Canis lupus familiaris: one gene and its partners. The protein of the gene in region 6 interacts with the protein of the main gene of each other region in a pairwise test. Links are inferred from orthologs where the notes say so. Each region holds a gene or a part of one and is shown on either strand. Other genes may lie near its edges. The genes, in order: DHX15, CDCA7L, KIFC3, LDOC1, CCDC57, ZGPAT and CCDC33.

Region 1 (3,796 bases), on a different chromosome or scaffold from region 6:
CCACGTCCCCTAAGATTAGTAACTCCACAATCTACTGTTTATTCTATTACCTTATACAGAGTCAAATTTTGCTATGATCTCCTACAAAGTCTGTCGTCCATATACAGAGCATACAGAGCTTTCTCTTCACCAAACCTGTGCCCCCGTTCACACTCAACTGGCTTTAGTTTCTTATATATGGATATAGCATGAACATACCATATTGCAATGTGGGATCAAGTCCCACATCGGGCTCCCTGCATGGAGCCTGCTTCTCCCTCTGCCTGTGTTTTTGCCTCTCTCATGAGTAAACAAATAAAATCTTTAATAAATAAATAAAATAAAGCTGTTCAGCTTCCCTTTGAACCCAACTGCTCTGCAATCCTAGGTACACAAAAACAAACAAAAAATACCACAAATATTCATCCAAATAATTACAAACCTCTCATTTTGAATTGACTTGACCATCTGCATTAACTGCTACTAAAGAAACTCATCTCTGAAATAAGGTTAACCACATAAGACCACAGAATAGCAGAATGAAATAAATATAGCATTGGCTATAAACAATAGCCAATGGGACAAAGTTCTTAATACTGAGCCCACCTAAATCTACTATGCATAACCACGGACAACCCACTAAAACCTCTAAGACTCTTATGAATCTAAGGCTCATTTTGTTCATCTGTGAAATGGTGATTAACAACTTCCTTGTAAGGTTGTTGACACAAATAATACATACAAGGGACACAGTGCCTAGCTTTATCCAATAGCTAATTAAATACTATGTAGATAAACTAGTTGAAATAATTCTTTTAAATACTAAATAATTCTTTAAAATAAGTTTAAAGTCGTATCTTTTCACACATTAAACTTCCATAAGGTGATAAAAATAAACCTATCAGTTTCAGTTCCTAACATCAATACTAGATTTTCGTTCAGTTATGAAGAAAAATCGTATTCAGTAAGGCTCAGTCTTTCAAAACTTCTTATTCTGGTTGCCACTGTAGCCTTCAAAATGTCTCCATGATATACTCCAATCTAGGTTTGTGGCATATGAAACTTAAATGGTAACTTGCGTATGCAGTACATTCCATTATAAACTTGGGTCACAGGTACATAAACATGGAAAATAAGCCAGGAAGAAACACAGTACAGTCATAATTTCTACATGGTAAGACAAGTTATTAAATTCATTTCGACACTTTCCAGATTTTCCAAATTTTCTACAATGGCCAAGGACTGCTACTTTTGCAATCTCTTAGAAATTTGTGACTGGTCAGGCTCAAACATATGGGAAATATGGTTAACACCTCACTCATAGCAGGAAATGCAAATTAAAAATTATGCTGATACTACTTTTCACATATCAGATTCGTAAATATTCTAATTCCACAGTATAGTCTAATGGATCTACTTGCTCATGAAAAACAACCATCAGAAGCAGCCTAGAGATCGATAACATGGGACCAGTAAACAATGGCTCATCCATTTTTGGAAAATATCCTAGATATATTACTAACAAGATAGTGTTTACTTCTAGGCCAAGTGTAACTAGATGGATGTGGAGGTCATGAATAAAGAGACTTTACTCAGCTCTTCCATCTTTTTAAAAAAAAGGATAATTTTCACATGGTTCAAAACAAACAAGAACAAAAACAAAACTATCCCAGTGGTTCCAAATTTCTACTCAGAGCAATAGAATACTTGTACCTCCAAATTTGTACCACCCCAGAGTCAAAGTGATCAGAATGCATCATTCTGCCATATTTAACATTAACAAAACAGCACTGCTATATTCCCCTAGACTCAGGAAAATAGGCACTCCCTACAGGATTCCCACTCTGTGCACTACAAACATCAAAGTAGCTAGTCTTCAGGATGTTCTAGGAGACAGACAAGGCAGAAGGACTTCCAATCAAATAAGCAACATTTAGTAAATGTAAACATTAATACGGTATGTACTGTGGTACACAATAATAACTCACCTGTGTTGTTTTACCAGACCCAGTCTCACCAACCAGTACAAAGGACTGATGCCTAACCAGAATATCTGTAAACCTATCCTTGTATTCCCAAACAGGGAGCTGAAGCCGTTTCTTTAGAATATCATAGTATCGAGGAGTATGGGGTAAGTTGGTAAATGGATTAATGCACTGTGGAAGTGATGTGTGTCCTGCATGTCCTGTGTGTGTTGAATGAGCAGAATGTGTCGAATGTGTTGAATGTGCAGAATGAGTTGAGTGAGCTGAATGGGAAGCTTTTAAAGGTGGTAATCCAGCACTGATAAGCATAGCATTAGTCGAAGCTCGCAATTCCTTCTCCTTTTCTTTCTCCCTTTCCCGCTCTCTATCTCCTCTATCACGTTCTCGGTCTCGATCTTTAGACCGATCTTCACGATCCCGGTCACGATCTCGATCCTTCCTAAAAATAAAAATTTAGAATTCAGATTCTGAATTTTACGCAAAATGTTCTTGGCAGTGTTATAGTCACAAAGAACAAGAATGTCTAACCACCAAATGAATAAACCAATGAATTATGTAAGTATCAGACATAATGAAAAAGACCTTATAATCAAGAATTCTCCATGCCTCACCCATAAATCTTTTTCTTTCCTTGATGAGACCTCAAATTCTCTTAAGGGACCATCTCTTTCTACACCTTTAGCCACCAGCTGTTGTTACACAAGACTCGGACTTGACTGAGTAAAGTAAAACCCCTTCCTACTTATTTAGACAGTAGAAATTAAAGACTGAGAGTAAGGTGGGGGAAAAGGAGGAGAAAATAAAGCAAGAGGGGGATATGGGCATCACAATTTTCCCCAGATTCTCCCTCAAGTTACATGAAAAGTTATTTTTTGCACTGAAAGTATGTTCAAAATTCAAAACTGCTTCTGGACACAAGGACCATTCTACTTCACATAACAGTAATACAAACATGAGTTAAAGGATTGTAGGTGAGTTCATTTTCAAGTTATGCCTTAAATCAGTTTCCCAATTTTGTTTTATAAGCATGTATTTGTCCTATTAAAAAAAAAAAACTAAAATTAAAACACTTCCTTTTGTTTTCATTGTTTCCTCTTGCATGATATCCTTAATAGTAACTGCAAAACTCTGTAAACCTATGTATACTTTGGACATCTATCAAGTGAAATATAACCACTAAAAAAACAAGCTCCACTGAACAATAGTAAGTTGTCTTAAAATGCTAAAATTATGCAGACGGTCACTATACTAAGCCTAGGTCAACTTTAAGTACTCAGTTCTAGTATCTACTTCCAGTTAGCAGGCATGATTCCTAATACAATAATAATTTTTAAATAAGCTTCAGACCAATTCCTATAGCAAACTTCTACAAGGTATTTGGACCCAGACTTGAAATAGTTGAGGCAATATAGAGCTATGAGACAAGCCACTGAACACCTCAATATTCCTTATCCATAAGACACAAAAGGCATACAAACTTCCCATGCACCAATTATCAGTAGCTGAGTAGGAAAAACCATTCATTCCCTATAAAAGCACATCAGCAGGACAACAGAAACCCCTTGACAGAATACAGCTAAAATTCTAGAGACAGCAGGAGTTAGGATGGCTCCCCAAATACAGAAATGTTAAGCAGATCAATCTTATTTTCTTTTGTCCTCGCTAAAATATAACTGTATTCCACAGGAATTTAAAGTTATTCCATATATACACATACATACACATTTCATATATATACTTTCATATATCCACATATTCATACTTTTCATACAAATATAAGATACATATATAAAAAGTAATCCTCCTCTCTCCCATCCAAGTGTTCACCCCCT
Region 2 (4,285 bases), on a different chromosome or scaffold from region 6:
GGAGGGAGAGACAGCAAAAGAGAGAATATTGTGTTGGAGAAGAATGCCAGCTAATACATGAAGAACGAATAGAATTTGAAAACGACCATTGTACAATCGCTAATGTGTGGTAATTGATTCAAATAAGAGTTATCTATCAGTGGATGCTGAAACCACTCAGTGAATTGGTTAATCACCAATTAACCAGGGAAGGATAATCCCAGAAGGTCAACTATCACCCTACTTATTTCTTACTAAATACAAAGAGGAAAAGGTCTTTTTGCTAAGGAGAAATATGACACATCCTGCCGTAACTTGATCAGAGAGCATCACCACTGAAGACCAGAGATGGCCAGACATTAGGTGCTTTCTGAGTAAAGAATGCAGCACTACCTATGAAGTAGTCATCTTGCCAGAAAGAAGTGAACTTGAATCTGACAGCCTGTAACTCTAAATACCGAATCACAGGAAATCCCAGGAGATGTTGGAGTCTACTAAATACCATCTTGCAGCTGCAAAAAACAAACAAAAACCCCAACCTTCCAGACTCTCGCAAACCTCACAGTGAAAGGACCCAGTTTTTTAAAAAAATAAGTTGCCAAAGGAAAAAAAAAAAAAGGATCCATAAGAAAAGACTTTTCTGTTGATCAATGTATGGACCTTATTCAAATCATGATACAAATAAACCGTGAGTTTAAAAAAAAAAAAATAGGTTGACGGAACTGTGAAGACAGACTATGTATTTCCTGATGACACAGGGTGAAATGCTATTATCTTCAGTTGCTTCAGAATAATTTGGAAGGAGGGCAGTTGGATAGGGATACAGCTGGAGCAAGACTAGCCATGGGCGCAGGACTGCTTGATAGCTGGTCCCTGTGTGTGTTCACTATGCTGTTCTACCTACTTGGGATTATGTTTGAAAAATTTCATAATTACGTTAAAAAACACTACTAGGGGATAACTTGTTATTTTGTGCCTCCTTATGCATTGCATTGAGAAGTGCATGTCATCTGTATAGAATTGTTGCCAAAAATATTTCAGTAAAGTATATCAGTGACCAATGAGATAAACTCAGAACGTATGACATTCAACAAGGCAGTAGTCTTGGGTTATTTAAGTAATATCAGTGTTACGAAAAGCAGCAAAAAACAGTGTCATAAAAAAAATAAAATGCATGATCTTTGCTTGAATGGGTCCCTTTAGCCCCCTTAAAGTTAAAAAAGACATTTTGGGACAGTTGTAGACATTTAAATATGAGCTTGTATTGAATGATACTATTGAATTAATGTGAATTATTTTAGGTATGATTGTAGTTTTACGGATCTAAGGGGAATGGGGAATGTTTTTATTTTCAGGCGATGTGTGCTGAAGTATTTGAGGGTGAATTAGTATGATGTCTGCAATTTAAATATAGGTGGAATAAGCTGGCTCGTACTAAATAAATGGCTATTTCTTTAGGTCAAAAACTGTGAAATACTAGCAAATGCTGATGGTTCCACTTAATGTTTGTTGACAGAGAAAGCAAAGGTGGTGACACATGGGGACTCCAGGTAAAGAATATGTAGATGGTTGTCCTATTCCTTCAGCTTTCCATGTTTTTTTTTTTTTTTTAAGATTTTTTATTTGTTCATAGAGACACAGAGAGAGAGAGAGAGAGAGAGAGAGAGAGGCAGAGACACAGGCAGAGGGAGAAGCAGGCACCATGCAGAGAGCCTAACGTGGGACTTGATCCAGGGTCTCTAGGATCATGCCCTAGGCTGCAGGCGGCACTAAACTGCTGCGCCACCAGGGCTGCCCGCTTTCTATGGTTTTGAACTTGTTCAAAATAGAGAGTTGGGAACAAATAGGTAGTCAGCATATGAAAATGAATTCTGAACTAATACATACATACTTGTTAGATTAAGAGCGCTGATAACATTCCTTCTTGGAATACTTGCCTACAGTAGTGTTTACATTCTCTTGAAATTAATTTTGAAACTACTTGATTGAGAGGAAAAAAAGGAGCAACAAAGCTACTTATTTCAATGTATGAGTTTTCATGTCTGAATCAGCAGATGACAAAGAGCAAAAAAATCAAAGACCAATAGGTGGAAATGAGGAAAAGAGGAGCTTATTAGTATCATCTTATTTTGACATGGATGACATTTAAAGATTTTCTTTTTTTTAATTTTTATTTATTTATGATAGAGAGAGAGAGGCAGAGACACAGGCAGAGGGAGAAGCAGGCTCCATGCACCGGGAGCCCAACGTGGGATTCGATCCCGGGTCTCCAGGATCGTGCCCTGGGCCAAAGGCAGGCGCCAAACCGCTGCGCCACCCAGGGATCCCGACATGGATGACATTTAAAGACAGATCCACTGCAGGAGAAAAATAGTTGTTTTCTCACAAATGATGACTGTTCCTTTATTTTTTGTGTAGAGATCACATAGGGTTTCCATCTAGATATGGCCTTGACATTCTCTGTAAGATAGGATATATCTCTAGAGTTTGAAAAACAGTCTAATCTTTCCCTCCCCTACCTTCTTTTGTTGCCATGAGGGATCAGCTGAAGCACATTTTGCTCCGGGGTAACTGGGGTCTTCTTGGTGACCATGGCAGATCTGCGACCTAGTAGATTGATAGAGCTAGTAGATGCTAATCCCTCCTCCTTTCTAGAAAATTTCCCTAAGTGATTATAACAGCCCTCGGTCTTATCCTTCTTCTTTTTTGAATCCAAAACAGATCCCTAAAGAAGTGGCTGACATCTTTAACGCCCCCAGTGATGATGAAGAGTTTGTCGGTTTCCGAGATGATGTTCCCATGGAAACCCTCTCATCAGAGGAGAGCTGTGATAGTTTTGACTCACTGGAATCAGGGAAACAGGTACAGATGCTTCCTTTCATGGAAGGCACGGTCTTCTGGAAGCCTGGATCTTGGTTCAGATATTCTTTTATTTGAATATGGTCTGAGATTGGTGATAGCAGTTAATTGTCGAGCATTTTATTTTATAAGTGTTTTGCTTCATGTTTTAAGAACCAATGAGGCTACCTAGATCACTTTTACTGTTTAAGCCCTTTCTATAATAGTTTTTTTTTTTTTTTTTTAATAAAGAGGGCCTCACATGATCAGATCTATTTCCTTTGTAACCTCAGGGCTTGCAGCCTGTGTCCAGGCTGTATTCAGAGTGCTCCCATGTGGCTGGGAGGGGAGAGGTGGTCCTGCACAGCCACCGTCCACACCGCAGTGCCGTGCAGGAACGTGTGGTTACCACGAGACAGTCGTGTCCCTGTGCTCCTATAGCGGGTTTCCATTGACACCCTACTCTTGGAATTGCCGGGGAGAGCCTTATTCTTTCTTGGATTACTTTGATCTCTGGCAAACACAAATTACGTTTCTCTGAGAGTTAGTTTCCTGGAGGTTTATATTATGCCTTAGCAGTGGTATGGCCAGTCGAAATAGCTAGCTTTCTGTAGCATTTTCTTCTGCATTCATTGTGGCTCTCAAAATTCTTCATTCTCCCTGGACCGTAGCCTCTCTCAAGAGGCTGTAAATTAAACCCACCTTGCTTCAACTGGGCAAGTGTAGGAGGTTCTAGAAGCACTTTATGATACAGTGTAAGTGCCTGCTTGATCACTTGGCTGCCTGTGTGTTCCAGCCTCCTCCTGCAGCTCCCCTGATGCTCATGGCCCTTACCTTAGTTACAGCACTAAGGTCTGGCCGTGAGCTTTGCCTTACTCAGAAACCATTTGAGCATGGTCAGGCAGTGAGGGAGAGTAGAGCCCGTGGACCCGCCGTGAGGGGCATTCTGAGCAGCGCAGCATGTGTGTGAAGAGCTGAGCCTGGAGCCCAGCAGTGCAGTGGGCATCCAGAAACAAAACAGCTTCCATATCTTGGCTGTTGTAAACAATGCTGGAATAAACGTAAGTGTCAAATTAGTGTTCTGGTTTTCTTTGCGTAAATACTCGCTAGTGAAATTACTGGATCGTAAGGTAGTTCTATTTTTAATTTTTTGAGGATCCTCCCTACTACTGTTTTCCACAGTGGCTGTACCAGTGTGCGTTTACACCAGTGGTATGTGAGGCTTCCTTTCTCTCCACATCCTCACCAACACTTGTTTGTTGTCTTTTATTTTAGCCATTCTGACAGGTGTGAGGGGATACCTCATTGTGGTTTTGATGGGCGTTTTCCTGATGATTAGATAGGGAAGCAGCCTAAGTGTCCATCAATAGAAGAATGGATAAGGAAGATGCTAAATATGTGTTCAGTGGAATATTAATGCAGCCATGAAAAGGATGAGGTTTTTGCCATTTGCCGCAACATGGAAGGA
Region 3 (4,243 bases), on a different chromosome or scaffold from region 6:
GGAGAGCCATAGAGAGTCGGGGGGATTGGACACTGTTCGAATAGGTAATCTCTACTGTCTGGTGGAAAGCAATCTGCAACCCAGGTAGCACCATTAGGAAGTTCTTGGGTGCCTCAAAGTCCATTTTAAAGCCAAAAGCAAATTCCACATTGCCTCTCTGAGCTGACTTGGCTGCTTCTGTTAATAGCATCACTGTCTGAGTCTGGGACTGTAGCTTGGTACTTAAATGCCCTCACAGCTGCTTTACACATGATAGGTGTTCAATAAAGATGTGTGTAAGGAATACTTAAAGTCTGTTCTCTTCATCTGCTCAGTTCATGAGAAACCTACGCAGCTTGCTTTCTTTCTTTCTTTTTTTAAATATTTGTTTCATTATTTTAGAGAGCACAAGCAAGAGGGGCAGAGGGAGAGGGAAAGAGAATCTCAAGCAGGCTCTGTGCTGAGCATAGGGCCCCATGCGGGGTTTGGTCTCATGACCCTGAGATCATGACACAACCAAGAGTCAGAGGCTTAACCCACCACACGAGGCAGGGGTGTTCTATCCAGGCCGGTGCTCCCCACCCCCAACTTCATTCTCCCATACCACCTGGTGCCTCCCTGCATCCTGTTCTGATTGTGAAGGTTTGTTGAAGTGCTTACCTCCCTCCTGACAGGGAGCTTTGAGGCCCTATCTCTCCTGATCAAAGAGGACCCCTGGCAGGTGCCTGGCACAAAATAGACACTGGATAAATAATTATTAAATGAAGAAGCAATGAATCTTTGTATCTTACTGCCTGCCAAGTTGTAGGCACAGAGTGAAGGCTAGTTGAATAGAATGAGTGGACTTTAAGAGAATTTGATCTATATAAGCCACTGTGTCACTGGCCACAGTCAGGCCCCGTCTGATTAGAGTTGCTGTCGACCTGTGCGTCCTGTGTGTGGGGCTGTGACCTGGCGCATCTTCAGGCTGCCAGGCTTCCAGCCGAGGGGCTGAGATGGGAGGTCTCCGCAGGGTGCAGCTGACACACCGGGTGGTCTCTTCACCCACTTCTGAGCTTCCCTACTTGGGAAAAAGCCCCCTGAAATGGTGAGGGGCTGTGTTGGATCGCGCAAGGCCAAGGATCGCTGCGGGGGGGGGCGGGGGGCTGCCGCTGCGGGTATAGTGACCCTGTTGCAGGCGGCGGGCTCCCTCCGAGCTGCCACCCAGGTGTCGTCGGTCGCCGGCTCAGCCTCGCCTCCCCGTTCTGTCCGCAGGCCGCCCGGCGCCCCGAGGAGGCCGCTGAGCCCCGGGCCATGGTCCCGTCTCGCCGGCCGTGGAACCTGGGAGCCACGCCCTCGCTGCGCGGCCTGTGGAGAGTGGGCCGGGCCCGCGCGCCCGAGCCGGGGATGGCTCGCCCCGCCCCCGCCGGCCCGGCCGCCCGCCCTTTCCCATACACCGGCCCGGGGAGGTTGAGAACTGGTGAGTCCGCATTTTTAAAATGCCTCTTTATTTCCCTTCCTTCCTCCAGATAGCAGCGATGGGGCCGGGCTCTCTCGCAAGTTCCTAGGCTCGGTCAGGGCTGTCAGGTAATTACAGGGTGCCGGCAGCCCGCGGGCCGGCCGAGTGGGAGTCGGGGCGCCAATCTCGCCGGCGCTCCTGCCCGGCGCTCCTGCCCGGCGTCCTGCCCGGCGTCCTGCCCGGCGTCCTGCCCGGTGCTCCTGCCCCGCGACCTGCCCCGCGTCCTGCCCGGTGCTCCTGCCCCGCGACCTGCCCCGCGCTCCTGCCCCGCGTCCTGCCCGGTGCTCCTGCCCCGCGCTCCTGCCCCGCGCTCCTGCCCGGCGTCCTGCCCCGCGCTCCTGCCCGGCGTCCTGCCCCGCGACCTGCCCGGCGTCCTGCCCCGCGACCTGCCCGGCGTCCTGCCCCGCGCTCCTGCCCCGCGCTTCTGCCCCGAGTCCTGCCCCGCGACCTGCCCGGCGTCCCGCCCCGCGCTCCTGCCCGGCGTCCTGCCCCGCGCTCTTGCCCCGCGCTCCTGCCCCGCGCTCCTGCCCGGCGTCCTGCCCCGCGCTCTTGCCCCGCGCTCCTGCCCCGCGCTCCTGCCTGGCGTCCTGCCCCGCGCTCTTGCCCCGCGCTCCTGCCCCGCGCTCCTGCTGGTGGAGAGACGTCCCGGGCGCCGAGTTAGACCCCGGCGCGGCCGCCGAGCGGGGGGCGGGCGGGGGCGCGTCCTTGGTCCCCCGCCCAGCTCGCAGTCTCGCTCCGGTTTGTGCCCGCAGCTGGTAAACAAGGTAGGTGAAGTGGCTGCCCCGGTGCCCCGTGCGGCGCGGACACCTGATCGCGGCGGGTCAGACCGCTGGGGGCGCGAGGAGGAGCCGCGGCGCCGGCAGAGTGTGGGTGCCCTGAGCCGGGTTTCAGGTGCTATGTGGGGCGGCTCCCGCAGGGTGGCCCACAGCAGGTGGGGGCAGTGAAGGAGCCCACCTGGGATGCTGTCAACACCAGCTCTCCTTTCTGGGTCGCGTCCCCTGGTGCCTCACAGGCCAATAAGTGAGCGGCACCTCTGATTTGCCTGTGGGCTGGGTTGTCGTTGGGTCTGGGCAGTTGCCCCACGACTGCCTCCTGAGGTGAGCTTGGGCAAATCTATCTGGAAGTGTGGAGGGAGAGAGGGTCTTCAGTCCAGATGTCATCAGACGCTTGCTGTCTGTTGTTCCTGACCTAGAGAAAGAGGTTTAGATTACCAGCCTGTCTGAGCTAGCAGAGTTCCTCTGGCTATCAGATCCAAGCCCCCCTGGTACACAGAAGGGGAAACTGAGGCCTAGAAAGGGTACACAGCAGACTCCTGTTCCGTCTCCTCTCCCACCACATTTGTGCCACTGGTGGGCACCAGAGTGATACCCTCCAAAGTGTCTCTGCAGGGGACAGTGAGGCTGGGGATGGCACTGGGGGCCTCTGGGAAAAGCATAGGCTTTTGGGTCAGGTAGCCTGAGTCATCTGGAGGGGGATGAAGACGGTCTCTACTCCACATGGTTGTCCTAAGGATTACATATGTAATATGAATGAGTATTACTTTTCTGGTTAAACAAAAAAAACAAGACAAAGAAAAAAAAAACAAGCAGAAGACAAAATATGTTCCCTTGGAAAACTAGAAAAAATAAAAAAATAAAACCCAGAAAAGTATAAAAAAGAAAATAAAAATCACCTATAAGCTTGTTAGTGAACATCTTATGTAGTTCCTTCCGATCTTGTATATGTGGGCATGCATATTGGTCTATTAAATGAGTATCATGAAGATTATATGACCATACAGGCTTATCTGCTTTTAAAATTTAAGACAAAGGTCAAATGAAATCGTGTGAAATGCTAAGCAGAGTGCCTAACAGTGAGTAGGGCTTCAGCCAGCTTGTCACTCCTAGCCCCTCAGCCCCCACCCCGACTCTTGCCTCTGTCTTGGGAGGTATAGGCAGAGGGTGAGTTAGCCCATGGGATTGCAGGACTGGCTCAGTGTGACCCTGGGCACGGTTTTAACCCTCCCCGGTCGTGGTCCTAATGGCCTGCACTTATGGCCAGTTTCTGTGTGCCTGGTGGAGAGTGAGCATTTTAGGTGTGTCATTCCATGTAACCCTCAGCACAGTACTATGAGCTTGGTTCCTTATCCCCATGTTATTGATAAAGGAAACTGAGGAACAGGCAGGGCAGTAAGCACTTGGCCGGCTGCTGGCACTCAGGATACTGTCACACCCCCATGAGGCTGTACTCATTCCCATCCCATGCTACCCTGCAGGCTGTGGTGGGGGTTGAAGTGGGTGCATGGGATGTCCATACCATGATCACCTCTCTCCCCTGTCCAGTGAGGGAGGCAGTGGGTCAGAGGCTCGAGGGGATGCACTTTAGCTGGTGCTGAATATGCTTTTGGAGGCTGCTGGGACCAGGCCACCCAGCATGGCGTTGGTCTTTATGAAGTCAGGGGAGAAATTGCCACCTAGAGGCGGCCTTGGTAATAAAGCCACAGCCCTGGGGTGCTCCTCCTGTGAAGTTTAGTGCAGCCAGGTTGGCATCGGCTTCCCTTTGCTACTCTCTGGAGAGGGAGTTCATGAGCAAGTGTCAGCCCAAAAGCCACTGTGGAGGGTGGGGAACACATGTACCCCAGAAGCTTCCGGTGCCTTCCCAAAGGGAAGCTCGGGGTGGCTTTTGGGAAGAAGGGAGCACAGCTCCTGCCTGGTGCCAGGCCTTCCCTCCGAGTAGGTCAGGCATGTGAGGGCGTGTGAGTCCCTCCTGGCCGCGCCCGGGCTGGCC
Region 4 (3,398 bases), on a different chromosome or scaffold from region 6:
CACAGGGGAATCTGTTCCAAGATCCCCAGCAGATGCCTGAAACTGAGGATAGTCTTGAATTATATATAGACTATATTTTTTCCTATACGTACTTGATACAATTTAAATAAGTTAGGCACACTAAGACATTACTAGCTCATGTGATAAAATAGAATGTTTGTAACACATAACTATTATGCAAGTTTCAAAATATCTCTTAAAGTATCTTACTGTCCTGTACTCACCCTTCTTGTGATGACGTGAGATGATAGAATGCGTAGTGATCCGACGCCAGGCTACTGGTTGATCTTCTGGTGCCAGGTCAGAAGGAGGGTCAGCTGATTCCGGATCAAACCACCCTTGGCACGGGTGACTGAAAGCACCGGAGAGCAAAACCGTGGATCAGGAGGGACTCCTGTGTGTACTGCAGGAAGAGAAGAGTGAAAGCTAAGCAGTTGCAGCAGTCTGGGTGGGATAAGGAAGGCTGGATCAGGGTGGTATAGTGGGAGAAGTGACTGATCTGGGGATATATTTTAAAAGCAGAGCCAACAAAATTTCAGCTCTAGGGTCCTGGACTCAACGATTTAAATAATCCAGTTCAAAGTAGAAAGCCCAAAGCATTTAAAAACACAAGTGTTCATTGTTAAGCAACAAACAACATGCGACCGAGGGCCAAGGGGCATTAACAGGACATGAAACAGAGGGTCAAAGAGAGGCGAGAGCCTGCAAATCGTTCTCCAGTGGTGCTTTTGCAGAAGTTTTTATACTTGACTGTTTAGAAAAAAATACTTTTTAAAAAAGGATGTAGGTATACAATATTGTTTCCCAACTAAAGAAAAAAAAACCCCATTTAGATATTGTTTTGTTTTCAAAGAGGAGCCCCAAGGAAGGGTCTTTCGCAACTCCGAAAGGATGCGTGGCTCCCGCGGGGCAGGCCGCAGCGCCAGCAGTTCCCTGGGTGAGTGGGATTTCAATAAGCGAGGACGTGTGTCACCGAAACGCGCAGGTGGAATCTCGTAGCCACAGACCCACCAAGGAGCCCCGCACTGTGTGAGTCGGCTGAGTCCGAGCGTGACCGATCCTTTAAAGTTGAGCAGGTTGGCCCTCTCTGAGCTGGCTTTTGGCGGTCCCGGGGCGCACATCCGGGGCTCTAGCGCGGGAGCCTGCCCTTCCCGGGCGCCGGCCTCGGGAACTCCGGCCGCGGGCCCCCGGCTCCCGCCCGCCCCCTCCCTTGGACCGAGCCCCCGGCCCCGCCCCCGGCCCGCCGGCCCCGCCCCGGCCCCGCCCCCTCGCGGCGCCGGCAGCGCCCTGACCACGCCCCCCGACCCGGGCCGCGCCGGCGCGCCGGCCGCCCGAGTGGCTGTGCGGGCGGAGCTTGCGCAGCAGCCGGACCCCAGCGCGCACCGCCCTCCGCCCCTGGCCACCGTGCGCCTCGGCGGACACGCACTTCCTGCGAGGCCTCCGTGCGCACCTGAGCCGAGCCCAGCCCTGCGCTTGCAAGCCGTTCGCCATGGTGGACGAGCTGGTGCTGCTGCTGCACGCGCTCCTGATGCGGCACCGCGCCCTGAGCATCGAGAACAGCCAGCTCATGGAACAGCTGCGGCTGCTGGTGTGCGAGAGGGCCACCCTGCTGCGCCAGGTACGTCCGCCGAGCTGCCCGGTGCCCTTCCCCGAAACGTTTAGCGGCGAGAGCTCCCGGCTCCCCGAGTTTATCGTGCAGACGGCGTCTTACATGCTCGTCAACGAGAACCGATTCTGCAACGACGCCATGAAGGTGGCATTCCTAATCAGCCTGCTCACCGGGGAAGCCGAGGAGTGGGTGGTGCCCTACATTGAGATGGATAGCCCCATCCTAGGTGATTACCGGGCCTTCCTCGATGAGATGAAACAGTGTTTTGGCTGGGATGACGACGAAGAAGACGACGACGACGACGACGAGGAAGATGATTACTAGGCCGGGAGACCCTCGGGCCCAGGGGGGAGGGCCCTGCACGCCGCCATCCTCTCCCCCGCCTCTCCTGCCCGGCCCGGAGCCGCCCAGCGCCCTTCCGCCCTCCCATCCCCTTCCCTACCCCCAGCTCTCCGGTTCTCTCCGTCATCCCCCTGTAGTGCTTGCCTTTGTTCCGGTTACCTGCTGCTGGGGCCTCGCTCGGAAGCGCGCCGCCACCCACTCTGGCCAGCCCCGGGGCCCTCCCCTGCTGATTTGGACTGTGTCCTGAGCCCCAGCTATAGGGCAGGCCCCTGTTACAAACTGGTCAGACCACGCACAGCCCTGCCCTGCCGACTGCAAGGCCTCCATCTGCCCAGAGACCTACGCTGCCACTTCACCACCGTCCACCACATTCCAGCGACAGAACACAGCCTTTGAAAATAAGGACCAACCTAGAAGATGCCTGAGTTGGCTCTATGTCCTTGGACATTGATTTGGACAGCTCACCAGCCCCTGAAGGGGCCAGTCTTTCAACCTGGTTAGTTCCCTGCCTACTCCCAGGGTCCTCCCCTTCCCCACCAGATTGCTGCAGGGGCCTAGTGCGCCTGGCAGCCAAATTGTTGACATTTCTTTTCTCCTATGCACCAGTTTTGCACAGCTGTCCTTTTTCTTTCCAAACTGCAGCAGTCCCAACAGATGTGTGCATTTGGACAGAAATACTAAAAACAAAACAAACAAACAAAAACAGGCACTCAGCCCAGCTCCTCAATACCACCTGGAAAAAAGCATTTACGTTCTTTTCAATAAATATCAAGCACTACAAAAATAAAGAAAGGAGTGTCTTTTAATGGTTAAGTGCTATCATTGGCCTCTTCCAATCTCACTCTGACTCCCGTTATGCCCCCTGAGGTCAGGGAACTTAGTTCAGTCCCAGTATTCGCCACTGTCATCTCTAGGCTACAGAGGACAACTACCACAGGGTTTTCTAGGAATTCTGGTACTCTCCTCACCAAGGCATTTCTTAAAGCCCTGGCAAAAGGAGTGAGTGTCCTCTGGGGCCTCCAGGGTGGCATGGGTAAGGGGTGGCTGAGCAGGTGGCACACCATCCCAAACTGGGACACTTGAGAGTTAAAGGGGGACACTGTTAATAATTAGACTAGGACAACAGGCATAAATCTGGACACATACAATGTTATTATCTTCTTGAGCCTTTGGATTCCTTACTCAACACTGCCAGAGAAATTCTGTCCCTTAAGTCTTGTTGCCCGCGGGGCGCTGTTGAGTTCAGACTTCAGTTAACTACGTAGCATATTGTTTTAATGCCCCTTTCAGGTGCTTGAACTGACATTAAGCCCTGGATCCTGTGTGAGTGAACCCATACTAAATAGAGCGTGATCTTAACATTTCAGCACCCCGGGTGCACTGTCTTAGAATCCCCACCCATACATATGTCCCAGATTCCTGCCTATGGAAATTGGAGACTGACTGT
Region 5 (3,796 bases), on a different chromosome or scaffold from region 6:
TCTGGGCTCAGCGGGGTCTCCCGGAAGTTACTGGAGCACGCTCTAGCCTGGCCAGGGCCAGGGGCTCGGCTTTAGCCACCTCCATTCCCTTCTGAGTTCAGGATGGGGGAGCCAGGAGATGGGAGCTGGACTGGCTGCCGGGAGAATGGGGGCCCAAGCTGAGCAGGCGTCCCGACGTCCCCAAGATCGGTGGCCCCAGCACAGGGCCGAGCTGGTGGCCTCACATCCCAGAGTGCTCCGCAGGAGCCAGCGGGTCCAGGCCAGCCAGAGCTTCCAACCCCAGGGGGAGGCCGTGGGGGGTGTGGCAGGCAGCAGAGGCTCTCCCCAGAGGAGGGGGCGCGGGAGCCCCGGGACACGCGGGGAGTGTGAGGAGCAGCCGGGGAGACAGTTGAGCAGTAGCCCCGGAGAAGCCAGGCCGGAGTGTGGAGGCTGAGGCCTCCGGGAGCCATGGCCCAGGACAGGGGTCCCACTGCCCAGGTGGACGCCGTGGAGGAGCTTGGGGGACCGAGGTGGAGGGGCTGGGGGTGAGCCGCTCCAGGAGAAACAGCAGGCTGTTGGTTGGTGAGCTTTTATCGTCACAATAACCTATGGAATTTCTGGAGTCAGCCTGGGGGGTGAAGCTCAGAAGACTGCCTGCTTGCAGAGCCGGGGCCCAGAGCCGTGGGATGGGGCTGGCCTCCAGGGCCCGTCCCCGCAAGGACACAGGCAGGGCGCCGTGGCATGTGCATGGCGTGGGGAGACCCAGCCCAAACTGTTGAAAGCTGTTGCGGTGCTGCCCCCTCACCGCGGCCTCCGTCCCAAGCCCCCAGTAGTGCACAGGCCCCGTGGGCGCCCGCAGGACCCAGTGGCACCACCGGCAAGGACACAGATCGCGTCTGTGGGGGCACCCGGACGCCGCGAGAGCCCCCCAGGTTTACGTAGACAGCATAGACCACGTCCCCAGGGTGAGTGTGGCGCCTCCACCACCAAGGACCTGTGTGCCCCGCTGGCCTCCGGCCCGCCCGCCCGGCGGTGGCAGCGTCCGCCTCCTCTCACCGAGAGCCCTCTTGTTTCAGGAGCTGCAGCTGGAATTCGAGTCTGAAATGCAGAAGAGGGAGCACGGGTTCCGCCTGCAGGCTGACGGCATGAGCAACGCGGTGCTGACTCAGGAGCTCAAGGTGGGTGGGGGCTACTCCCTTCCCTGCGGACATGTCCTGGGGGGAGGGCCGGGTTCACGCAGAGGCCTCCCTTGTGGCACCAGGGTCAGGGGTGACATGCCTGAGGAGCGCCTGCCACCGTGACCACTACGTGGCTCCTCGCACGAGTGACGGAGGAGGGCTGGTGTCCCCGCTGTGCTTGACCCAGCCTTGGGGAAGGGCCCCCACCCGGGATAACCTCCACCCAGCCCTGGCCAAGGCCTGTGTCCTCTGTGAGCACTTGGAACGGCCTCTGGGGAGGTGCTGCTCGACCGCCATTTCCAGCAGAAGAGGCCAGGCCAGGTGGTCAGGGCCATGTGCGGCTGTGCGCCAGCCACGGTGCTCGCCACCCCTCATGGCTTCTCTAGTGCACTAGCCCCATGCTGCCAGGGCACATGCGAAGGGCGCTCATGCCTGACCTTTAGCCTGGAGATGGGTGGCGAGGGTGGGGGTGGCCTTGAGGGAGCCCGAGGTTGAGCAGGGGAGGAGGAAGCAGGGGCGGACACCTGGCCGGGGCCCTGCTGCCCCAGTGGCTTGCACCTGCACGGGCGTCCAGCAGATGTCAGTAGGGAGTGCCGCGCTCACAGTCGGGGTGGGGGGCCCTCCCGCAGGCCGCCAGCCTTCCTGCAGCGCCACAGTCCAAGGGCAGCACACGGCCAGCCCGAGGCCCCAAGATCCCGGGCCATTGTCGTGGTCAGCGTGCTGGGTGGGCAGCTCGCAGCCCAACCTCACCTCTGCAGGGCACCGCTTGTCGTGGAGCGCCAGCCTGTGTCCTGCCAGGCCCCCGCCTGGCCCCTCTGCACAGGCACCCCTGACCACACTCCCCCTGCCAGCCAGGGGCCAGGCCCAGGCTGCCCCACGGCGACCCTCAGGAGGCCACTCGAGGACTTCTGAGAGCCGAGGGGAGAGGGCAGCTGGGTCGTGCAGGGCCGTGCCCTGAGCTCACAGCCGGGTGGGCACTGCTGTGAGGGTGGGGCTGGGGACACGCAGGGCATGGGCGCTGGTCCACCCCCTTCTGCGTGCCAGGCGGCTACAAACCCCCAAGAGCCTTCTCCCTGGAGGGCTCCACGCAGACGTCAGGGCCGCAGTTCACATTCGAGGAGACTGAGGCCGTGGTCTTACACGCCCCACCTGCTTGTGCGATTCCAGTACCTGAGCAGTAGTCACAGAGCAGCCGGGACCGTGTGTTGCCGCGATAGGCTCATGCACGCGGCCCCGTCGTGGGTGCAGCCGGGGAGCCGTGGTGGTCAGGTGGGGACTTGAGGACGCCCTCACGGTGTGCTGCTCTCGAGTTGTTTTCTTCTCTCCGTTCAGCCCCAGTGCTGTCCTCATTTTGAGTTCTTTATCTCTGGAAGGTGAAACTGCTGAACAAGGAGCTCGGGGCCCTGAAGGAAGCTGCCGCCCAGGCCGCAGAGTCGCTGCGGGGTGCTGAGGCCGCCAATGCGGGGCTGGAGGAGCAGCTGCAGCACAGCCACCAGGAGCTCAGGGACCTGGCCGCCTCCAAGGACGCCCGGTGCGCAGCCACACTGCCGCCTCGGGGCTGGGGGCTTCCGCCTGGCCCGGCTTGCTCCAGGCCGGCTGGCTGTGGGCCCGTCTGCTTTTTCTGCTAATGTTTCCTCCTTTTCAGGATAAAGGACTTGGAGGGCAAACTTAACTCTGTGCAGCTCTCCAGGAAGAAGGAAGAAGAGGTCTTCAGGAGGAAGTGAGTGTTCCCGGCTCGTGGCCTCGCGGCCCCGGGGTGAGGTCCAGGCAGAGATGCCCCCCGACCTGCGGCCATCCGGCCTTTCAACTCACGGCTTTGGGTCTCCTTCCATGATCTGTTCAGGATTCTCAGTGGTAGTGAGGCTTTTTAGTGTGTTAAAACTTTTTCAAAAAATACATATACATTCTTAAGGTTTTAAGTCACCTGTACACCCAGTGTGGGGCTTGAACTCACAACCCCAAGATCAAGAGTCATGTGCTCCACCGACTAAGCCAGCCAGGTACCCCAGTGTCTTAAAGCTTTTGAGCTTAAAAGTCTGGTTAACCAGGGGCTCCTGGGTGACTCAGTTGGTGAAGTGTCTGACTCTTGATTTCCACTCAGGTCATGATCTTGGGGTCATGGGGTTGACCCCGTATCTGGCTGGCCCTGGAAAAGCAATGTTCCTCTTCATGTCCTCTTCTAGAGCCTTCTTTTTTTTTAGTTTATTTAAGTGATGTTTCCGTCCTGTGGGGCTCAAACTCACAACCCCGAAGTCAAGAGCCACACACTCCCCTGACAGCCATCCAGGTGCCCTAAAAGTGTTTTTATTTGTAAACTGAAATCGTTGAAAATGAATATGATTTTTTAGCATATTATAAATATTGGCATTAAGAAGTAAAACTGTCAGGGGCACCTGGCTGGCTCAGTCAGTAGAACACATGACTCTTGGTCTTGGGGTTATGAGTTCAAGCCCCACACTGAGTGTAGAGATTACCTAAATTTTTTTAAGAAAAAAAGAAAAAAAAGAAGTAAAACCATTCAGTCCCCCCCCTTTTTTTTAAATATAAGATTTATTTATTGAGTGCCTGGGTGATTCAGATGGTTAAATGTCTGCCTTTAGCTGCAGTCATAAATAAAAAAGAATTATTTATTTGAGACA
Region 6 (4,433 bases):
GCGCCCAACGCAAGGCAGCCAGTGCTGGGGGCATGTGGGAGGAAGAACAGTGCACGGGTGTCCCGGACACGCCCCGGACGTCAGGGAGGCAGCTGCTCTAGGCCTCCAGGGGCACCGTCGCCAGGCGGGGAGGAGGATGCCGCAGAGCACAGGTCCTGAGGGAGAACCCGGGAGGAGGCCCCGGCGCTGAAGCCCAGCACCCACAGGCCTCCTGCCTGCCCGCACCTGCTTCCTGGACACCTCTCGTCTCGGCCTGTACTCATCGGAAGCAAATCTCTGAGTTAAAAGGGAACTGGCAGGTCCTCGCTCTCGAGGGTGGGGGCAACGGGGGAGCTGGGACAGGGCTGGGGGGAGCCTCAGGGACACAGTGGGGGACGGAGCTGAGGGGAGGCTGGGCCGGGGGTGTCCCTGGAGGAAGCGGTGCGAGGGGCGGCCTGGGCACGGCCGGCTTACCTTGTCCCACAGCGACTGCAGCTCTTCCTGGCCCCCCAGGTCCCAAAACATGAGGCGAGCCTTTCCCACGTCCACAGTGCCGACTGCGGGGAGAGGACAGAGGACAGCACAGGCTGGGGACCCGCTGCCACGCGCCGCCTCCCGGCCAGGCCAGGGACGGGCGGCTCTGGGCTCCCCGAGGCGGCCCGGGCGGCCCCCCAAGCCCTCCGCCCCGGGGGGGGGGGGGGGGGCCTTACTGTTGAGACCCACGGTGGTCGTGATCTTGGAGAGACTCATTCCCTTGTAGTTCTTGTTAAAGCGGGTTTTCGACTGTTCCAGGAACGTCTGCGAAGAGACGCGCGCGGGAGGTGAGGGCGGCTTCCCCGGTGTCCGGTGTCCGTCCCGGGCGGGCGGGGGGCGCGTGGGGGCGGGCGGGGCCGCCCGGAGGGGGAGGGCCGGGGGCGGGCACCCACCGTCTTGCCCGCATTGTCCAGCCCCAGGATCAGGACGCAGTACTCGTCCTTCTGGAACATGTACTTGTAGAGGCCGGACAGCAGCGTGTACATCCTGCCTGCGCAGCGGAGGCGGCGGTCGCGGCGGGCTGGGAGCCGGGGCGCTCCCCTCCCCCCCCTCCCCTCCCCCTCCCCCCGCGCCCCCGCCCCCGAAGGCCCGCCGTGACGTCAGGCTCCCCGGGCTGACGACGCCCCCGCCCCAGCAGGTGCCCGGCGGCCGCGCAGCGGGAGCCCCTGGCGGCGTCCGAACCCCCCCCCCCGAAGCCGGGCTGCGAGGCGGCGGCCGGCGGGCGTCGCGGCCCGACGGCGGGTGCGGCCCCCGAGGCCCCGCCCCGCCCCCCCCGCCCCGGGGCGACCGGCCCGCGCTACCTGGCGCCCGTCGGGGCCGCGGAGCCGCCCGCGCCTGACCTCGCCGACCCGCGCCGACCCCGCGCTGACCTCGCGCGGCGCCCGACGGGACGCAGGCCGCGGGGGGGAGGGGCCGTCCCGACGCTCCCCGCGCGCCGCGTCCCGGCGTCCCCCGCGCGAGGCACTTCCGGCGGCGGCGGCGCCCGGGAGGAAGTGCCGGTGGGCTGCGAGGGCGGAGGCGGGGGCGCCGGCCGCTCTAGCCGGTGAGGCCGGCGGGGCTCTATGGCGGCGGCCCGGAGCCCGCGCGGAGGCGGGGCCCGGCCCGGGCGAGGGGGCGCGGTCTGGGGCGACGGGGCCGGGGCCCGAGGCGACGGGGCGGGCGGAGCGGGCCGGGCCGCGGCGGGGGCGGGGCGGGGCGGGGGGCGGCGCGGCGCTCAGCGGCTCCCCGTCGTTGCAGCCGCGCCGCCCGCCGGGCCGCAGGATGGACGAGGAGAGCCTGCAGGCCGCGCTGCACACCTATGACGCGCAGCTGCAGCAGGTGGAGCTGGCGCTGGGCGCCGGCCTGGAGCCCTCGGAGCTGGCCGACCTGCGGCAGCTGCGCGGCGACCTCCAGGAGCTCATCGAGCTCACCGAGGCCAGCCTGGTGTCCGTCCGGAAGAGCAAGCTGCTGGCCGCGCTGGACGGGGAGCGCGCGGCCCCGGGCGACGCCGACAGCCGGGGCTCCCAGCAGGCGGGGCCCGCAGCGCCCGCAGCCCCCGGGGCCGCGCCGGACACGGCTCCCGAGCGCGAGCGCCAGCCCGAGCCGGCACCCAGCGGGCCCGGGCAGGGGGAGGAGGAGCGGGCCGGCGACGAGGACGGCGACGAGGAGGAGGCGCTGAGCGGCCGCAAGGTGAACGCGCCGTACTACAGCTCCTGGGGCACGCTGGAGTACCACAACGCCATGATCGTGGGCACCGAGGCGGCGCGCGACGGCTCTGCGGGCGTGCGGGTGCTCTACCTCTACCCCACGCACAAGTCCCTGAAGCCCTGCCCCTTCTTCCTGGAGGGCAAGTGCCGCTTCCAGGACAGCTGCAGGTGAGTCCGGGGCAGGGGCGCAGGTAGGCCGCGCCGTCCTGGGAGGCACGGTGCCCCACCCTTCGCTGCTCTGGTTCTTTCGGGGGAAGCTTGCAAAATGCAGTGTCGCAGCCCCGCAGGGCCCGGCGTGGGGCCGCCCGCTGCCCCCTTCGCCGCTGATCAGCCCTTCCTTGCCAGGCTCGTGTTTGCTCTCTCCTTTGTCTTCCTCTTGTTTGCCTGCACCGTGTAAAGGAAACCGTAGAAGTCACTGGTTTCTTTTTTTTTTTTTTCTTTCATCAATCGATGCTCAAGGGTCGCATCCCTGACAAATCCGTAAGTTGGATCTTGTTCATGATGAGATTCACACGACTGTGGCAACGGTGTCACTCTTTCCTTAAAATGCCCGACTCGGCTTTTGCTCCTTATCGCTTCCATCTGTGGAAGGAATGTTTACCAAGTCTTGCAGATGATTTTCTTTTTGAGTCAATAACCCAGGGAAACTCTCTCTAGTCCTTTGGTCTTTGTCTTTGCTTACGGACCGTTGCTGGGTCCAGAGCGTCCTTTAACACGATTTTCCACAATCCTTTCTTTCCTTGTAAGTCTGATTACAGTGTGGCACCCGTACGGGAAGGTGCGTAAATCATGAAACGTACTGGAGTTTTCACAAAGCAGACCCATCCATGTGCTGCTGAACAAACAGGTCAGAGAACAGACCAGCAAGCCCTCTCGTCCTCTCTGCCGTTACCCTCTGGGTGCCTCCACGGGCCCGGGTGATGCCCCTTGTGACGATGAGAGCTGACGTGTCCGTGTGCTGTTCCTCTAGGCCAGGCTCCGGGCCAGGAGTTTCACGTGTGTTGACCCCTCCGTGCAGCAAGCCCCAGGGGTGGGCCCCACCACGGCTAAGGTTGCCTGGCACAGACGGCGGCACGAGCGAGCCTGCAGCGGGCACAGGCTAGCTTTGCCTCGGCCCCCAACTGCTGTGCCTTGCTCTGTTGTGTTAGCTATAGGCCCGACTGGCACAGCCTACGACAGCCACTTGCCACTGCCAGACAGATCAACGCTTTTCTTGCATTGCTTTGCATTTTTATTTTATTTATTTTTTAAAGATTTATTTGTGAGAGAGAGAGGGAGGGAGTATGCACCCTCCGTGTAGGGAGAGCCAGAAGGAGAGAGGGAGAGAATGTCAAGCAAACTCCCTGCTCAGCTCGGAGCCGACCCTGAGATCAGGACCTGAGCAGGACCTGAGCAGACGCTCTTAGCTCAGTAACCCACTGAGCTACCCAGGCGCCCCTGCTTTGTATTTTTAAAAATAGCTGTGTCACAGCCCCTTCTCCTCCCAGGCTGTGATCACAACTCCCTTGTGTTTACCTCTAGCAGATGTTAGCTCTCCGCAGACAGGAGCCTATATGAGAAGAGTAACTTTTTGTGCTACTTTTGAAACAAATGGTGTCACACAGGATGGTTTATTTTGCAACTTGCTTTTTTCACTAAGCAGGGATGTGAGAGGGCATCTGTGCTGGTATCTCCAGAGCTGTTTAATTGGTTTTAACTGCTATGTTCTTTTCTCTCACAAATGTGCCACATTTTATTATGTTCCTTTCTGATGTTTTCCAGTTTTTGTCTGTTACAAACAGCTTGCTGTGAACATCTTAGTAGCGTCTTCTTCTGTACCTGCCTGAGAATTTCCCTAGTATGGGACCGGTGTGTCGAGAGTGTGCAGAGTTCCCGCTTCCGTATGAAGGCCGGTGCCTCGTCCCTCATCCTCTCTATCACTGCCGATTCCTGCCTGCTGAGCGCTGGGAAAATGGGATCATGGTTGAATTTGTGTTTCCTTGGTTCCTAGTGAGATACAGTATTTTTTCGTTCATTTTTTATAGCTTAAGGTCTGTATTTCAATTTCTTTATCTGTAAAACAAACGAGAGTTGTCTTTCATAGTTGTTGGGACAATGGAATGCGTTACCACGTGCAGAGAATTTAGAGTAGTACCTCACAGGTTGTAAGCTCACAGTCAATGTGAACTTTTACGTTGTTGTAAAGTAAAATCAGGCGTGGGAAGTAAGTACACAGTGTGGGGATTCCTGTAACCC
Region 7 (3,796 bases), on a different chromosome or scaffold from region 6:
TGAGCCTTCAAATGTCCTTGCCTTTAAATGAAGGGGGCTCCAAAGGGGTGCCTCATTCTGTATTTGCCATGCCAGACATGAAGAGTGGTGGGCAGACAACAGGAAGGACTTCCCAGGCACCCCTGTCTTCTTTAAGGCTTCTAGGAATGTGGGGACCATCATGTGGGGCAAACTCCAGCTGAAGTAGAGACTATGGGAAGAGACGGACCCGGCCACTCCCTGGTACCCAGCCGCAGTCTGCACACCCCTCCGCCACGTATTCAGACACACCACTCACTCTCCCCTCCGGCCCTGAACATGCATCTGTCTTGTCCTGTGCACCCCAGCTCCACTCCCGTGCTCTTGTTCCCTATCGCCCTGCACAATCCCTCCCCTATTAAACACTCAAGAGTCTTGTGTCTGGATACCCGCTCCAATCAGCCAGGCTTCACGTCCCTCTTGCCTCGAATTAAAATTTATTTTTTGTTGTGGCAAAATGCAGACAACATAAACTGTCCCGTTTTAGCCGTCTTTAGGTGCACAATTCAGTGGCATTAAGTAAATTCACAATATTGTCTAACCATCACCACTATCAATTTCTAGAACGTTCTCACCAGCCCAAACAGGAAACTCTGTACCTATGAAACAATAACAGCCCCCCCCCCCCCAGTCCCTGGCGAGCACCCTTCTACCTCCTGTCTCTGCGAATGTGCGTACTCTAGGGACCTCCTATCAGCGGCTTCAGACATCATTTGTCCTTCTCTCCTCTGCCTTTTACAGGCCTGACAGTCCCTCCTGGTTTGTTACTAGGTCACCCACTACCTGTGTGGGCGTGTGACCCTTTCATGTGCGTGAGGCCTTCTTCTTCCCTGGACCAAGGGCGCCCTGAGGGCAGCTCCTCCACAGCACAGGAGGCTTGGCTCTGGGGACACAGTAAACCCCTTAGGGGTCAGGGGAATAGCCCAGCGAGGGAGCCAATGAATAGACACGTGGGTGGGACACTGGAGGTGCACGGGGAGGGGGGGAAGGGGGGACCGTACCTGAGGGCACCCGTTCTGGCTGCCCCGAGGAACGTCGAAGCGCATCATGGATGGGTTAGGGAAGGAGAGGCGGGTGATGGGCAGCCCCACGGAAGCTTCGTCCTGCTTTATCTGGTTGACCCTGGGGAGGCAAGGAGACGGTCAGCCCACAAGTGCCGCGGGTGGCTCAGGCCTGCAGGAGGGCGCAGGGCTCTGGACACCAGGACAGGTGATGGACCCTGGTCCTCTGATCACCGGCCCAAGGCGTGACTCGCTGTGGCCTGGCCACATCTGACTGCCCCAGAGGCCCCATCTTTAAAAAGCCCTGCCATTGGAAGTCCTTGCCGGAATGACCCACCCTGGTGGTGGCAGTTCTAGTTTAGGTCAAGGGGGACCTGGAGGCTGCAGGGGCAGGGTCCAGGGTGTGTGTGTGAGCAAGTAAGCGAGCGAGCGAGCAAGCGTGTGGCCATGTGCCTAGCTCTTAAGAGGGCTGGGAGGGAGTGTATCAGCTTCATTCCTTCAATAAGCAAGGAGTGTTCACAGGTCAACAGATGGTGTGGCGCAGTCCTGTTGGGCCAGAAGAGTCAGAGGAAGTGACAGAGGCAGACAGCTGATCCCCAGGAAATGGAGCTGTCACACAGGGCCCATGTGCACCGGGGGACTCCCCACGCTGTGTGACCCTCAGGGGCCACGCTAGCCCAAATACCCTTCCTGAGGACGGCAAATCCACCAAACCCCCAAAGGTGGTCTGGGGAGGAGGGGCACGAGTTTGGCTGGGGCCAGGAGACCTCAGGAGGGTGAGGGAGAGGACTCACAGGTGGGGCTAAAGGTCATGAAGTTCTGAGCGGACCCACAGGCTGCCTTCTTTGGGAAAAACCATTGGCTGGAGCCTTGGTCCTGCGCTGGAGTAGGAGGGGGGACTGTGGGACGGGAAGCAGGTGTGGAGGGCTGAGGACCTCCTGCAGGGAGTTCTGAGCCGCCCCTTCCCAGGCAGGGACTGTGGGCAACTTCCTGAACCTCAGACCCCAGTGGGAGGTTTGAAAGGCCTTGGGGAGGGGAGGGTTCTAGGGCTCCTGGAATCAGGGCCTGTGGTGGCAGCGACAGCCCTTCCCCTCCTCTGTCCTCTGCCGGGCCCGCCCTCTCCTTGCCCACACCCGCCTGGGCCCCACTCACTTAAAATCATTGTAGTTGGGAACCACCCTGGCAATGACCACCATGGGGTCACGGTTGTTGACCAGGGGCTCATTGACTCCCCGGAGAAAGACCTGGGGAAGAGAGGAGGCAGGTGAGCCTTGGGTGGCTTTGAGCCCTCTCGGGGACAAGGCCAACCCGCCTGCCACCTTTCTCCCCAGTAATGAGCTCATCCCTGCCTCCATCTGCCTCACTTACTTCCTTCTCTGCTCAAAGCTGCCCTCCTTCAGGCCCTGACTAGGCCTTGGGAAGGCAGGGGTAGGACACGGATTCTGTCCCCCATATGCCTCCACTGCCCTCCCGAGCGACTCCTGATCTGGCTCCTGGCCCTCACCCCTTATCCACCAAATGGGCTCCCACTCACCCCTCAGCGCTCACCCCAACCCCTCAACTGTGAGTCCTGTGGCTCCTCTTACTTCTGACCCCATCACTGGCCTCTGCTTCTATTTTGCCCCCCAACCCATCCCCTTTCCCCAGCAATTTAATACATGATGGCAAAAACTGCTTTCGTGAAAAATGAATTAGACCGTGTCATCCCCCAGCTTGAGACCAGCAGTGACTCCTCCCACTGCCCTTGGAATGAATTCCACAATTGTTACCATCAGGGCCAAGGCCTGCATGTGTTGGCCTGTCTGCCCTCGGCCCCCAAGTCCTCCCTTGCTCCAGCCTCACACGTCTCACCCCTCCAACCTGCTCACTTGCTTCTGCCTCAGGGTCTTTGCACATGATGATCCCACTGCCTAGACTCCCCACCCCCACCCCCGCCCCAGCAACTCAGTGGCTGGCTCTCTCTTCCCTTAGGGTTAACCGTCACCACCTCTGGGAAGCCTTCTGTGACCACTCCTGCCAAACTAGCCCACCCCCTTCTCTTAGCCCCCGACCACCTCTTCCTCGGCACTCCTCATAGCCTGTGTTCACTCTAACTTCTCTCTTTTCGTGTTCTGTCCATCTGGCTGGAACCAAGTCTCCAGAGGGGCAGAGACCATGTCTACCTCAGTCACTGCTATGTCCCCAGCTGTTAGCAGACACACCTGGCACAGAGTCAGAGCTCCGTGTGTGTTTCCGGGATAAATGAGCTCCATTTATGAAGGAGAAAAGTAGGGGACCGGGCAGGGAGAGGCTGTGTTTGAGTGTGAGAGAGACAGAAGCGCTGACAGCTGGGAGGGGAGGAGGAGAAGCCAGGCCTCAGGGAGGGGCTGGGCTTGAGCTGCTCTTGGGGGATGGGTGAGGGTCCTGATTACGGGGTGCTCTTGGGAAGGCAAGCAGCGAAGGAAGGGGCTGCGAACACAGCTGAGGGGCCACTCAGGAAAAGCTGGGCCACTATGTTACCGAGGCTGGTCCCCGCTCCACTCTGGGCCTGAGGATCCCAGCTCAGACCCTGAGGGGTGGGACGTTACTGTGCTGGTCCTCCTCGCTCTGACCTTCATGGGGAAGAGGGCACCTGGGACTAGGGGCTTGCTCTGGCTCCTCTCTCCTCCTCCCTGCGCACTCCCTTCTAGGCCCCTCTGCCAGGACCATCTTAGCTGGTAGCTCACAACTCCCCACACGTGTGAACTGATCAGGCCTTAAAAGAGGGCTTAGGAAAAGGCACCTGGGTGGCTCAGTGG

Evidence for each region.
Region 1: the proteins of ZGPAT (region 6) and DHX15 interact in binary tests that used the Homo sapiens proteins (3 or more experiments, as listed by UniProt). The two-hybrid records come from large-scale screens. The link is inferred for Canis lupus familiaris from reciprocal best matches to the Homo sapiens genes ZGPAT and DHX15.
Region 2: the proteins of ZGPAT (region 6) and CDCA7L interact in binary tests that used the Homo sapiens proteins (3 or more experiments, as listed by UniProt). The two-hybrid records come from large-scale screens. The link is inferred for Canis lupus familiaris from reciprocal best matches to the Homo sapiens genes ZGPAT and CDCA7L.
Region 3: the proteins of ZGPAT (region 6) and KIFC3 interact in binary tests that used the Homo sapiens proteins (3 or more experiments, as listed by UniProt). The two-hybrid records come from large-scale screens. The link is inferred for Canis lupus familiaris from reciprocal best matches to the Homo sapiens genes ZGPAT and KIFC3.
Region 4: the proteins of ZGPAT (region 6) and LDOC1 interact in binary tests that used the Homo sapiens proteins (3 or more experiments, as listed by UniProt). The two-hybrid records come from large-scale screens. The link is inferred for Canis lupus familiaris from reciprocal best matches to the Homo sapiens genes ZGPAT and LDOC1.
Region 5: the proteins of ZGPAT (region 6) and CCDC57 interact in binary tests that used the Homo sapiens proteins (3 or more experiments, as listed by UniProt). The two-hybrid records come from large-scale screens. The link is inferred for Canis lupus familiaris from reciprocal best matches to the Homo sapiens genes ZGPAT and CCDC57.
Region 7: the proteins of ZGPAT (region 6) and CCDC33 interact in a two-hybrid assay, tested with the Homo sapiens proteins (2 studies listed by BioGRID). The two-hybrid records come from large-scale screens. The link is inferred for Canis lupus familiaris from reciprocal best matches to the Homo sapiens genes ZGPAT and CCDC33.

Annotation. Positions count from the first base shown.
Region 1 is NC_049224.1:86,154,789-86,158,584, reverse strand, and holds part of DHX15 (pre-mRNA-splicing factor ATP-dependent RNA helicase DHX15), read right to left. Parts: intron 2,404-3,796; coding exon 1,968-2,403; intron 1-1,967.
Region 2 is NC_049235.1:35,878,830-35,883,114, reverse strand, and holds the start of CDCA7L (cell division cycle-associated 7-like protein), read left to right. Parts: upstream 1-1,437; 5' UTR 1,438-1,481; coding exon 1,482-1,529; intron 1,530-2,700; coding exon 2,701-2,841; intron 2,842-4,285. UniProt on the Homo sapiens protein: Plays a role in transcriptional regulation as a repressor that inhibits monoamine oxidase A (MAOA) activity and gene expression by binding to the promoter.
Region 3 is NC_049223.1:57,969,663-57,973,905, forward strand, and holds the start of KIFC3 (kinesin-like protein KIFC3), read left to right. Parts: upstream 1-1,257; 5' UTR 1,258-1,272; coding exon 1,273-1,438; intron 1,439-1,487; exon of another isoform or gene 1,488-1,545; intron 1,546-2,122; exon of another isoform or gene 2,123-2,241; intron 2,242-4,243. UniProt on the Homo sapiens protein: Minus-end microtubule-dependent motor protein. Involved in apically targeted transport. Required for zonula adherens maintenance.
Region 4 is NC_049260.1:112,048,911-112,052,308, forward strand, and holds LDOC1 (protein LDOC1), read left to right. Parts: upstream 1-1,342; 5' UTR 1,343-1,489; coding exon 1,490-1,933; 3' UTR 1,934-2,757; downstream 2,758-3,398. UniProt on the Homo sapiens protein: May have an important role in the development and/or progression of some cancers.
Region 5 is NC_049230.1:968,835-972,630, forward strand, and holds part of CCDC57 (coiled-coil domain-containing protein 57), read left to right. Parts: intron 1-1,055; coding exon 1,056-1,157; intron 1,158-2,530; coding exon 2,531-2,688; intron 2,689-2,802; coding exon 2,803-2,877; intron 2,878-3,796. UniProt on the Homo sapiens protein: Pleiotropic regulator of centriole duplication, mitosis, and ciliogenesis. Critical interface between centrosome and microtubule-mediated cellular processes. Centriole duplication protein required for recruitment of CEP63, CEP152, and PLK4 to the centrosome.
Region 6 is NC_049245.1:48,102,385-48,106,817, forward strand, and holds the start of ZGPAT (zinc finger CCCH-type with G patch domain-containing protein), read left to right. Parts: upstream 1-1,497; 5' UTR 1,498-1,555; intron 1,556-1,749; 5' UTR 1,750-1,773; coding exon 1,774-2,366; intron 2,367-4,433. Other genes in the region: ARFRP1 (ADP-ribosylation factor-related protein 1), read right to left, coding at 454-536, 690-777, 906-998. UniProt on the Homo sapiens protein: Transcription repressor that specifically binds the 5'-GGAG[GA]A[GA]A-3' consensus sequence. Represses transcription by recruiting the chromatin multiprotein complex NuRD to target promoters.
Region 7 is NC_049251.1:37,852,062-37,855,857, reverse strand, and holds part of CCDC33 (coiled-coil domain-containing protein 33), read right to left. Parts: intron 2,264-3,796; coding exon 2,172-2,263; intron 1,141-2,171; coding exon 1,020-1,140; intron 1-1,019.